Linked DNA regions of Cricetulus griseus. The protein of the gene in region 1 binds, or shares a complex with, the protein of each later gene. Links are inferred from orthologs where the notes say so. Each region holds a gene or a part of one and is shown in the gene's direction. Other genes may lie near its edges.

Evidence for each region. The genes of interacting proteins can lie anywhere in the genome.
Region 2: the proteins of Ap1m1 (region 1) and Ap1s1 are in contact, whole or in part, in a crystal structure (PDB 1W63), measured with the Mus musculus proteins. The link is inferred for Cricetulus griseus from reciprocal best matches to the Homo sapiens genes AP1M1 and AP1S1. Residues at the interface, in NP_031482.1 of Mus musculus: Lys12, Glu31, Asn186, Asn188, Val189, Leu190, Glu232, Glu234, Asn270, His272, Arg421; in NP_031483.1 of Mus musculus: Lys26, Lys30, Arg33, Glu34, Gln37, Lys43, Glu51, Trp52, Arg53, Asp54.
Region 3: the proteins of Ap1m1 (region 1) and Ap1g1 are in contact, whole or in part, in a cryo-EM structure (PDB 7R4H), measured with the Mus musculus proteins. The link is inferred for Cricetulus griseus from reciprocal best matches to the Homo sapiens genes AP1M1 and AP1G1. Residues at the interface, in NP_031482.1 of Mus musculus: Ser289, Asn318, Asp319, Ala320, Asp321, Ser322, Trp334, Pro336, Glu337, Asn338, Ser339, Gly361, Leu362, Pro363, Ser364, Val365, Glu366, Ala367, Glu368; in NP_001288140.1 of Mus musculus: Arg24, Glu25, Gln28, Lys29, Ala32, Arg35, Ser36, Arg39, Glu40, His64, Phe65, Gln67, Leu68, Gln97, Val99.

The regions. Positions count from the first base shown.
Region 1 is NW_023276806.1:247,005,754-247,009,263, forward strand, and holds part of Ap1m1 (AP-1 complex subunit mu-1), read left to right. Parts: coding exon 1-26; intron 27-425; coding exon 426-573; intron 574-3,510. UniProt on the Homo sapiens protein: Subunit of clathrin-associated adaptor protein complex 1 that plays a role in protein sorting in the trans-Golgi network (TGN) and endosomes.
Region 2 is NC_048597.1:115,987,421-115,991,579, reverse strand, and holds the start of Ap1s1 (AP-1 complex subunit sigma-1A), read left to right. Parts: upstream 1-1,354; 5' UTR 1,355-1,479; coding exon 1,480-1,482; intron 1,483-3,862; coding exon 3,863-4,041; intron 4,042-4,159. UniProt on the Homo sapiens protein: Subunit of clathrin-associated adaptor protein complex 1 that plays a role in protein sorting in the late-Golgi/trans-Golgi network (TGN) and/or endosomes.
Region 3 is NC_048596.1:186,137,776-186,141,939, forward strand, and holds the start of Ap1g1 (AP-1 complex subunit gamma-1), read left to right. Parts: upstream 1-1,359; 5' UTR 1,360-1,546; intron 1,547-1,552; exon of another isoform or gene 1,553-1,696; intron 1,697-4,164. UniProt on the Homo sapiens protein: Subunit of clathrin-associated adaptor protein complex 1 that plays a role in protein sorting in the late-Golgi/trans-Golgi network (TGN) and/or endosomes.

The DNA.
Region 1 (3,510 bases):
ACCACGGACAGCAAGATCCTGCAGGAGTGAGTGCGGGGCTGACAGGAGCAGGCCACGTGTCCTGGACAGTGCAGCCTGGGATGCCAGCTCCCCACTTGACAGGGAGACCAGGGAAAGCTGCCACTCTGCTTTTCTGGTGGGGTGGGGTCAGTGGGTGGCCCAGGGCTCAGTCCCTTCCAGGTGCCCACAATGCTGACTACTTGACTCCCCGTTCCCACCCTACACCAGCACCTTGCCTCTGAAAGTAAATGTGTACAGCCCACTCACCATAGCCAGCCACACCATACCTAGTGAGAGGCCGCTCCCGGGAGCCTGCTGATGTGGGTACTTCCAGTGGTTGGGCCTTCCCTGCTCCATAGCCCCACCCCGGTGTCAAGGCCCAACATTGCATGTTCCCCTCTATAACTGAGTGGGTGGCCCCATAGGTACATCACTCAGGAAGGCCACAAGCTGGAAACCGGGGCCCCTCGCCCCCCGGCCACTGTCACCAATGCTGTGTCCTGGCGCTCGGAGGGCATCAAGTACCGGAAGAACGAAGTGTTCCTGGACGTCATTGAGGCGGTTAACCTCTTGGTAGGCCAACTTTTCCCTTCCTTTCCTAACTTGCCGCTTTTCCAGGGTGAAAGTCAGAGGGATAAGACTGAAAACCAGCAGAGCTGTCAGGTGTGTAATCCTAGGCCTTGGCAGCAGATGGCAGGGCTTAGTTTTGGCCATTGGAGAGACCCAGCCTCCCTCTCACTTAGAATCTGTAGGGACAACATTGTGGTGGCTTTGAGAGACTGAGGTAGGGGGACCTCGAGTTCTAAACCTTCCAGGTCACACTGTCTAAGAAAAACAAAACTAGAAGGGTCCCCAAGATGACTCAGCAGGTAAAGGGCTTCTCACAAAGCCTGACCATCTGCTTTCCATCCTGGGACCTATGGTGGGAAAAGAGAACTGACTCCTGCAAGTTGCACCTCACACATGTGCACTCACACACACAAATAATAATTACAACTTAAGAAATACAGGGCCAAGGAGATGGCTCAGTGAGCCAAGTTGCTGTTTAAGCCTAATGACCAAGCTCCATCCCCAGAGGCCTGAGAAAGGTGAAAGGAGAGAACACCACAAAGTTGTCTTCTGGCCTCCACATGGAGGTGGTGACACCCGACAAATACTTATCATATACACTCATACACAGTCAAAATAACATTTTAAGTAAAAAAATAGGTATATCAGCAGAATGCTTAGGTACAAGTGTGAGGACAAAAGTTCCGATCCCAGCACACGAGTGGAAGCTGAGTGGGGTGGTGTACACTGTAACCCCAGCACTGATGGTTAAGGACAGGGTAGCCCAGCCAAATGAGATCTCCAACTCAGTAAGAGACCCTGCCTCAAACAAAGGAGGGGGAATCATAGGGCAAGATACTTGATGTGAAACTGTGGCCTCCAGGCGCTCACACACAGGCATGTGCACACATGTAAAACCAAACTCATAAAGCATTATAAAGCTGGAAAGCCAGCTCTGTTACCAAGAGACCCCAAAAGATCACATATCCCAAGACTGCTACTTTTCTAGAATGCTGAGATCTTGGGTGGCTTGTGCTTTTGGGTTGTGTGTTCCTTGCTTGGTGTTTGGTGTTTGTGGTAGTAGGTGTGGACCCCAGGAGCTCTGTGCACAGGGTGTATTAGTTACTTGTCTGACTGTCACAAAATATCTGACAGGTGCAACTTCAGGGACAAAGGGTTCATTCTGCATCACAGCCTGTCACAGTTGGGAAGTTTGATGACAGGAGTATAGGCAGCTGTCACATGGTGTCCACAGTCAGGAATCAGATCGAAGAAGGCTGCGGTTCTGCTTGCTTCCTTCCTTTCACTCATCCAGAACTGCAGCTTGTGGGAAGGGGCCCTCACATGCTGGGTGGGCCTTCATAACTCAGTTAACCCAATCTAGAGACTCCCAGACCTGCCTCTACCCAGAGGTCTGTCTCCTGGGTGACTCTAGAGCTGTCAGGTGAACAGTCAAAAGTTACCATCACATCAGGCAAAACATTTTCATGGTGTGTGTGTATGTGCGTGCGTGCATTCAGGGGTGTATGTATGTGTATTTGTACATGTATGTATGTATGTACTTGTGTGTATCTGCATGAAGGGTGTGTATATGTGTAGTGTGTGTGTGTGTGTGTGTGTGTGTGTGTGTGTGTGTGTGTGTACCCACAGAGGCCAGTAAAGGAGTAGGGTCCACTGAAGTTGCAGTCACTGTTGTAAGCCTCCTGACATGAGTGCTGGGAACCTGGTCCCAGTGGGTTTTTTTTATTAGGTCTTGGATAGTGTATGCTCTTACAACCTGTTTCCTTTGGTTTGGTTTGTTTATTGTAGTTTGGCTTTTGTAAAAGGGTCTCACTATGTAGCCCTGGCTGGCCTGGAATTCTCAGAGATCCATTTGCTTTTGCCCCCAAAGTGCTGGGGTTAAAGCTGTGCACCTCCATACCTGGCCTTGGTTTTGTTTTGTTCTAGTACAAGGTCTTTCTATTTAGCCCTGGCTGGCATGGAACTCATGGAAATCTCTGAGCTAAATGAGATGTCTCTGCCTCTTTATTCAAAGCAAAAGAATTGAGCATGATGCTAAATACTGATGCTGACAGTCTTTTTCTCTAGTGAGCCAACTGAGCAGATGGTGAGAAGACAGAAAGGGGAACAGCCTGAGCTTGAAGCATCTGGCACTAGTACAGAGAGTCCACATTGAGTAAGACAGACAGCACTACCATACTTGAACACACAGACATCTGCCTGCCTCAGGTTCCCAGTGCTGGGACGACAGGAGTGTACCCCCACGCCTGCTGGCTCTTCCTCTATCACTGCACTTCCCTTTGTATTAGTTGCTTTTCTCCTGCTATGGTAAAACACCGTGACCAGGGCAGCTTATTAAGAGAGAGTTTACTGGGCGTATGGTTTCTAGAGGGTTAGGGTCCATAATGTCAGGGCCAGCATGGCAAGTGGCAGACATGGTGTCTGGAGCTGAGCGCTGAGCCCTCTGGCTGCAAACATGAAACAGACAGTGTGAACAGGGAATGGCATGAGGCTTTGAAACCTGAAAGCCCATCCCCACCATTCTCCAGCAAGACCACACCTTCTAAGTAAGCCCCCCTGAACAGCACCAACGGGGGACCATGTTCAAATGCCTGAGGCTGAGGACGGCATTTCTTTCAGACCACCACACCTTGTCCTTCTACTTGGAATCTGCCCACATCTTAATCAAAGTGAGTTCTGGTAGGAGCATCATTTTTTTGTTTGTTTGGTTTTGGTTTTGGTTTTGTTTTCCGAGACAGGGTTTCTCTGTGTGGCTTTGAAGCCTATCCTGGCACTCGCTCTGGAGACCAGGCTGGCCTCGAACTCACAGAGATCTGCCTGCCTCTGCCTCCTGAGTGCTGGTATTAAAGGCGTGCGCCACCAGTGCCCAGCAGGAGCATCATTTTTAAAACCTAACCTGAGACGGTGCCTAGTAGCACCCATCTGTCTTTCCAGAAACTA
Region 2 (4,159 bases), on another chromosome or scaffold:
CATTTATTTATTTATTTATTTATTTATTTATTTATTAAGACACCCTCTCTCTTTACATAACTCAGGCTGGCTGTGAACTCTCTTGACTAATCCTCTTGCCTCTGGTTCCCCAGGGATCAAATTATAGGCACACAAAAGTATGCCGGGCTAATCTGGTTTATTTGTTTGTGTGTGTGTGATTTTATTGTTTGTTTGGCTGTTTTGTTGTTTGGGGTTTTGTTTTTTGTTTTGACACAGTGCCTCAGCCCAGAATGTGAACTTGTTATGTAGCCAAGGATAACTTTGAACTCTGATTCTGATCTGTCTACATCTGCTTTCCAAACTACAGTATTACAGGTGTATACCCTCACATCCAGTTACACACACACACACACACACACACACACACTATATATATATGTATTATATATAAACAAAAAAAGACACTTGCATCTAATAAGTTCTCAACACTAAAGCTCTATACTGTTTTACTTTTTTGGTTTTGTTTTGTTTCTCGAAACAGGGTTTCTCTGTGTATCCATGGATGTCCTGGAACTCGCTCTGGAGACCAGGCTGGCCTTGATGCCTCTGCTTCCCGAGTGCTGGGATTAAAGGCATGTGCCACCAACGCCCGGGTATTTAAAATTTTTAAGGTTACATTTCATATATGTATTTTGTGTTGCGTGGGAGCATGTACAAACCAGGGTACTTGACTGTGTGGATGTCAGGACAGCTTGCAGGGTCAGTCATTCCCTTTCACCTTCTATGGGGGGGGGGGCATCTCTATGATTGGAGCCATCACACCGGCACTGTTTTGTGTCACTTTGCTTAAGATAGGCTCTCTCGAGCACGCCACTTAGCTGAGGCTGAACTTGAGCTACAATTTGCTCCTGTCTGTCTGCCTTCAAAGCGTTGGAATCACAGGTGTACACCACCGCGCCTGCCTTGCTTGTTTGGGGACAGAATATTGTTGTGTAGCCCTGAGCTGATCTTGAACTCTGTTCCCGCACCACCCCGCTTTGAGTGATGTTTTCCTCCTTTTCTGCACACCGTGTTCAGCTCCCGGAATCATCCTTGCTTCTTCATAAACTCTAAAGATCGAGCATCCACCTCTCACCCTTTTCCCGCCTTTCCCCCCCTACAAATGCTCCAGAGCTCAAGGCCCTCGTTGTCCCCTACCTCCGCCCTTCCCATCCTCCAATCAGCCCACCAGGACAGCCTTGTTACCATGACAACCGAGCTTCTGCAAAGCTGAAGTCAAGGACCTGGTTGCCATGGTTTCCGCTTCTCCGCCTTCAGCCCCTCCCGCCTCTGGGTGGGACCGGGAGGGGGAGAGCGCGGCAGCGCTGGCGCCTGCGCAATGCGGCCGCGCGGGGGAGCCGGCGAGGCCGGGGGGCGGGGCTTCAGGCGGAGAGGGAGGGAAAAGAAAAGAATCCGACGGGCCGCGGAGCGGGCTCCTACGGTGGCCGGAGAGGGACGTGCCGGGCCGGAGGCTGCAGGATGGTAGGCAGTGCTGAGAGGGAGGGGACGGGGGACCCGAGGGGCGTGGGCTGTACCTGCGGGGGTCCGGAGGGGGCAGCGTTTGGTGGGAGTCGCCCTGTCTTCCCTGTGGTCCGCTGAGGATCCACTTCCCGGAGCGGCTGGGCGAGCCGACCTCGGGAGCTGGAAATGGCACTCGGGACAGGGGCGGGGAGGAGTCTCGTTGGTTGGGCTGCAGGGTGGCGGGACTGTCCCGAGCAGGGTCAGCGTTCGGGACACGGGGTCCTGTCCTGGAGACGCCCCGGGCGCCGTGGCGGGGGAGCCACCCGCGGAGAGGGGCCCCGGGATCCCCGGGGGTCGCGGTGGCCGAGCCCCCTCCGGGAGGCCCGCGCCTGAGCGCACGGTGCGGCAGGAGGGAGGCGGGAGGGAGGCAGGGGCGGTTTCCGGGTCTCCACAGCTGACCCCCGACTCCGTAGTCGGGGAGCCTGGGCTCTGGAGGACGCGCCGACTCTGCCGTTCCCACCTTCCCACCACCGCGGTCCAGTTTCCTTCCCCAGCCCAGGCCTTCCGTCTTCCTGCCCGCACTCGGCTCCCTCAGTTCTTCACATCCCCTGGCCCCCACCAGCCACCGCCCCTGCTTTCTGGGGGTCTTTGTTCCTTTTAATTGATGGCCTGGAAGCTGAATTGCCGCACACACCCAGAGATTCCAGCCCTGGCCGTGTTCACAGATCTGTTTGCTGGGAATTGAGTTCAGGTTTTGGAAGCAAGAGCCCCCTGCAACTGGGAAGAAACTAGATCCAGGAAGCAATGAGGACTCTCATTCCACAGACATTCCCTAGGAGAGCCATCGGGGTCACTGGACTCTCTGTGAGGGACTTCGTGATCTGGTGTCTGGGACCCGTAACCCAGGCACTCAGGAGGATCAGAAAATCAAGGGCAGCCTTGGCTACATATGAAATATAGGTCAGCCTGAGCTACATGAAGCCCTGTCTCAAAAAAAAAAAAAAAAGAAAGAAAGAAAGAGAAGAGGGCCAGAGAGATGGCTCAGCTTCTAAAGGTACTTGACAACCTGAATTCAATCCCTGGAGTCCTCACAGTGGAAGGAGAGAACTGTCCTTAAAAATTTTAAATAGCTGGGCGTTGGTGGCACACACCTTTAATCCTAGCACTATGGAGGCAGAGGCAGGCGGATCTCTGTGAGTTCGAGGCCAGCCTGGTCTCCAGAGCGAGTGCCAGGATAGGCTCCAAAGCTACACAGAGAAACTCTGTCTCGAAAAACCAAAAAAAAAGCAAAGAAAAAAAAAGAATTCCTTAATGCAGGAAAGATGCCTAAGTCATTGAGAGTACTTGCTGCTCTTCCAGAAGAACCAGTTCAGTTCCCAACACGTATATCAGGCAGCTCACAACCTTCTGTAGCTCCTGATCTGATGCCTCTGGCCTGCATGGGCACCTGCACTCATCTGCACATACCCAGTATATAGACACACAACATAAACTTACACATAACTAAAAATAGTAGTGGGCTAGAGAGAGGGCTCAGTGCTTAAGAGCATGTGTTGCTCTTGCTGAGGACCTGGGTTTGGTTCCTGTCACCCACATGGTGACTTATAACCATCTATAACCCTGGTTCTGGGGTATCAACAGGCATGTGTGTGACACATACATGTATGCATGTGAGTATTGAGTATTTCATACACATAAAGTAAAATAAATCTTTAAAAAATAAGAAAAGCAAATCTTAAAAGAATTCTATAAGGAAGGTAATTTTATGGTTTCTGTCTTTCGAGTAAAGAAACTGAGGTTCAAAGACTTTTTTTTTTTTTTTTTTACAAAGCCAGTAAGATAGATCAGCAGACAAAGGCACTTGCTGCCAAGGCTTGGGTATCTAAATTTGATTCCTGGAGCTCACATTGTAGAAGCAGAGATCCAGTTCCCAAAAGCTATCCTCTGAACTACACACACACACACACACACACACACACACACACACACACACACACACGTAATAAAATGTTTTTGTGCTTATTATTTGTGTGGATGTGTGCTTGCCATGGCAAGAGTGTAGAGGTTAAAGGACAGCTCGTGGGAGTCAGTTCTCTTCTGTAATTTGGGTCATGGGTATTGAACTCAGGCTTAATAGCAAGCACCAATTTAGCTATCTTGCTGGCCCAGTATAAATTAATTTGCCTGAGGTTGTATTCAGCTACTAGGGCCAGGATTGGAACCCACACAGCAGGCTTGACTTTCCCTCAGGAAGAACATTCTTCTTCTCTACCCAGCTGGGACAGAAGTTTTGAAGAAGGTAGTGGTGAATACCGCTGAGTCTGGGGCTTTGCGCTCATGCAAGGAAAGAGGCTCCAAACCCATTCTCTGCCCCTCAGCTCTGGTCCTTCCTCCCTTCCAGATGCGATTCATGCTACTGTTCAGCCGGCAGGGGAAACTTCGGCTGCAAAAATGGTACCTGGCCACCTCGGACAAGGAGAGGAAGAAAATGGTCCGGGAGCTCATGCAGGTTGTGCTGGCTCGAAAGCCCAAGATGTGCAGCTTCCTGGAGTGGAGGGACCTCAAAGTTGTCTATAAAAGGTGACACTCCATCCATTTATTGTTTTCAGTGTACATGAATTGCTCTGGAGTTCACACTGGGTTAAAACGACTGAGAAATAACTCTGTCTCTCTGAAGTCGGGGAGAGCTCCAAGGAGC
Region 3 (4,164 bases), on another chromosome or scaffold:
GGTGGCCTTTATGAGATAAAATTATTCTGCAGCTGAAGCTAGCCTCCAACTCACGGTCCCTCTGCCTAGCCTCTTACAGGTAGTGCGGCCACCACTGCTGCCTAAAAAGCCCCCCCCCCCTTTTTTTTTTTAAGGAGACAGGGTTTCTCTGTATGGCTTTGGAGCGTGTCCTGGAACTCGCTCTGTAGACCAGGTTGGCCTCGAACTCATAGAGATCCACCTGCCTCTGCCTCCTGAGTGCTGGGATTAAAGGCATGTGCCACCACTGCCCGATAAGTCTTAAGTCTATTTGTAAAACTGGGTTACTTACTTGGATTCAAGAGATTGCTTACAGGGTTGGGTTGTACATATGAAGGTGCCTTATGAACAATGGCATACCAATATTTAATAAAGAAATGTGATCATGCCCTTGGCGTCCTTTCTTTCCAGGCACTTGGCATGCCCCAGAAATACAAGGTCAAAACTGTACCGCTAGGCATACCCAGTTCAACGTCTGTAAAGTATTTTGAAATCCTTGCATAAAAAACGAATGCCTAAGGAAAAAGGTGCAACTTCCTGTTTATGACGCCAATGTCTCGAACCTAGGATTTGTGCTTAGTTCCCTGTCTTTGGCGTTCAGTCTAGTACTGTGTTTTGTTGACACCCGGGACGACTTTGTTGCCAATCTATTGGAAAGATTTTATTCTAGGTAGGTCACCTTTCCTTTAAATGGGCCAAGATATCAAGGATCTCTCGATTCACATGGAAAAGACTTTTGTCACAAGTTAGCAATTATTTATCACGTCCGGAACTGTCTAGCTAGACTTTCTTTGGCTCAGGTCATTAGTTCATTTAATGGTAGATTGGAAGCCAATTTTGGAGGAGTTTTGGCTGTCATTTATCCAGATTCTCTTTTCCCACAGGAGGGAACTGAAAGGTTGGCGAGATTAGGTGACTAAAGCACAGGGGTGGTGATGTGCGTGGAACCCATTCTTCTGCTTCATCTTCTACCTGTTTTCGTAAAATTTTTATGAAGATACAATAAAACCACAGACTCCAAGACCACTTGGAGCATGCTTCTGAAGTTGAACACAAAGCTAAGGACTCAAGGTGACGGGGACGATTTAGGAATTCTTTAGGACTAAATCCTAGTTAAGTGTGCTGCGTTTCCACCTGCCTCTCCCTCAACCTTCTCCAGCTACCTTGCCTAGCCCCGCCCCCTCAGGTGGCCCCACCGTTTCCTGGTAGCACAGCTTCCTTCCCCAACCCTGCTTCCAAGTGGAACCAAAGTGCGCTGACTCTGGGGACCGCCGGATCTTTCTAGTTAAGACTCTTCGCAGCGGTGACTCGGCAGCCGCGTCTAGCGTCATCAGTGACAGCCCCGACCCTTGCTACGCTTTGCGTCGCTCTGCCAGGCGCAGTCGCCTCCTCCTTGGCAAATAGTCCTCGGCAGGGTCCGAGTTTTCGGGTCGTCCGAGGTGGGAAACAGGAGAGGTTGCAGTTCAAGGGGCGCGGAGTTGACGAGGAGAGGGAGCTGAGGAGCGCCGTCTTCTCGAGAGCGCGTGAAGTGAGTTAGAAACTCCCTCCCTTCCCGGGATCCCTCCGCCTGCAGTAGCGGTGGTGAGGCCGAGGGAGCCGCCATTTTGGATGTTCGGTTCCTGCTGCCACTGCTGCCGCCGCCCCCGAAGCTGCTGGTTTCATTCGAGGTTTCGGGCCGGTGAGTGTCACTCGCGGCACTGAGAGCAGGTTGTGTCTTTGGCTCCGCCGCGGCTGCGAGCGTTTGGCTGGAAACCTCCTGTCAGTCCCAGGGGTCCGGTCTCAGCCTGTGGGGGGTGAGGAGGACCCAGGTTGGGCAGGTGGGACCGGGGAGCCCCAAGGCTTGCTCGGACTTACTGAGGGCCGACCGACCCTCAGAGGCTTCTGAGCAGGAGCTTCGGTGCGCGGGCGCTCCCTCTAGTGTGGCGTTGTCCAGCCGGTGCAGGCCTCCTTGAACCCATTGACTTTATCAGGCTGCGAGCCTCCTTTGAAAGCCGGTTCAGGGAACCTCGGATTTAGCGGGGCGGGCCCCACCCCCGCGTGTCCTCTCCGAGTCTCTTATCAGTGTTCTTGTGTCGTGGACTCGGGTCAGATGTGAGAACTCTCAGCATTTCCACATGCAGGGGTAATGCCTGTGCCTGCGATGCCGTCTGCTCAGAACTGGACATCGGCCTCGCCTCCTTCTAACCCTTCGACTAACTTCTGGTCTAAATTTTTCCGCCTCCCCCCCGCCCCTGCTTTTTAAAAACGTACCTGCGACTGCACCTTCTTCTCCAACTCTTGGTTCTGCGGACGTCCGTTTCTAGTAATTCTCCGGATCTTTCTCATTGCCTGGAACTGTGGGTTATGCTTCCCAGTTAGGGCTTGGTGTTGGAGAGCCGTCGAACCACCTAGGGTGTATTTCAGTAGTAAATGGGTTTAAAGCAGGCAGAGAGGCTTTAGGTGGGAAGGAGCTGTCAAAATACTTTCTGGATTTCCTTTCTGCCCTGAACGCTGAGCTTTCAGGCACTTACTGATACATATTTTTTTTTCTTTATTCTTTTGGCGTTGTAAGTGCTTGAGCACGGAAATCTGCCCTTGGAGAATATTAATCTGACGTAGGTAGAAAGGAAAATAACTTTTTTGGTTCCTATAGGGATTAGTTAACAGAAGAGCGAGCTGAATGATCTCTTAGTGACTTCAACCTTCAGGTGTTTGTATAGCAATGATCTTTGCTGACTTCATATGTTGACTTTTCTCAGGGTAGTTGAATTTTAAGCGTCCATTTCCACCGTTGCCTGTAGTATTTGTCAGACTTTATACCTCTTAAGTTTTGATTTGAAACCTGTGGATCCTCGAAGTACTGATAGCCTCATTACTCTAATTCTGTTTTTAATGTCTGTTTGCAATCTATCGTGCTTTAATAAAAAAAAAATTAACAATAATTCACCAGTTATTTCCTACATTTCAGGTTAGGTGAGTGTGGTTGAGTCACCCCTATTTTATCTCAGCCTAGGTTTTTACAACTGCAAAAGAGAAATAACTTATTTGAGTTCACATTTAAGTGACTTAAACCTAAGTTTTTTTATTTGTTTGTTTGTTTTTTGTTTTTTGGTTTTTCGAGACAGGGTTTCTCTGTGTATCTTTGGAGCCTATCCTGGCACTCACTCTGTAGATCAGACTGGCCTCGAACTCACAGAGATCCACCTGCCTCTGCCTCCCGAGTACTGGGATTAAAGGTGTGCGACACCAACGCCCAGCTTAAACCTAAGTTTATAACTTGAACCGAGTCATATCTCTTGGTACTTCTAAAATTTATGTTGGTGCTTTATTTATTTATTTATTTATTGATTGATTGATTGATTGGTTTTTCGAGACAGGGTTTCTCTGTAGCTTTGGAGGCTGTCCTGGCCCTCACTCTATAGACCAGGCTGGCCTCAAAATCACAGAGATCCACCTGCCTCTGCCTCCTGAGTGCTGATACTAAAGGCGTGCACCACTGGCTTGATGCTTTATTTTTAAAATCTTTTGAAGTTTTATTTTATTTATTTACGTATGAGTGCTTTGCCTGCATGTATATATGTGCATCACTTGCATTACCGTTTCGGGTGGAAGAGGGTATTTGGATTTCCTGAAAGTGGAATTTCAGGCAGTTGTGAGCTGCTCTGTGGGTGCTAGAAACTGATTCCATGTCCTCTACAAGAGCAGTACATGCTTTTAGCCTCTGAGCCATCTCTCCAGCCTCTCTTTATTTTTAAGCTTTTGAAGTGAGACTGCAGGTAAATCTTTATAGGTCATACAGTGTCAAAGAAGACACTATTTCCAGTGTAAATATTCTGTGCTCTTGTTACTTGTTTTAAGAAACTCCTTCAGAACTATATTAATTACTGTTAGATGTGAATTCTGTGTTTTGCTTTGAAGTTGTTCAGTTTTCTTTTGCTTTTAAAAGAACTCAGTGTCTTGTACTTTACTTCAGTGATGTCCTGTTTTTGAGTTCCCTTTTTTGAACAGGTATTGAAAGAGCTATCAAAAGTTATTTAACTCAGTAGTATTGTGGTATAACATACTGGGATTTAAATGTCATTCATTCTTTGATGGTTTGCAGTTTACTGGGAGAAAGTACACTTTTGCCAAACAAATATTAGTAAAGTACTGTTCTGTGTATCGTTG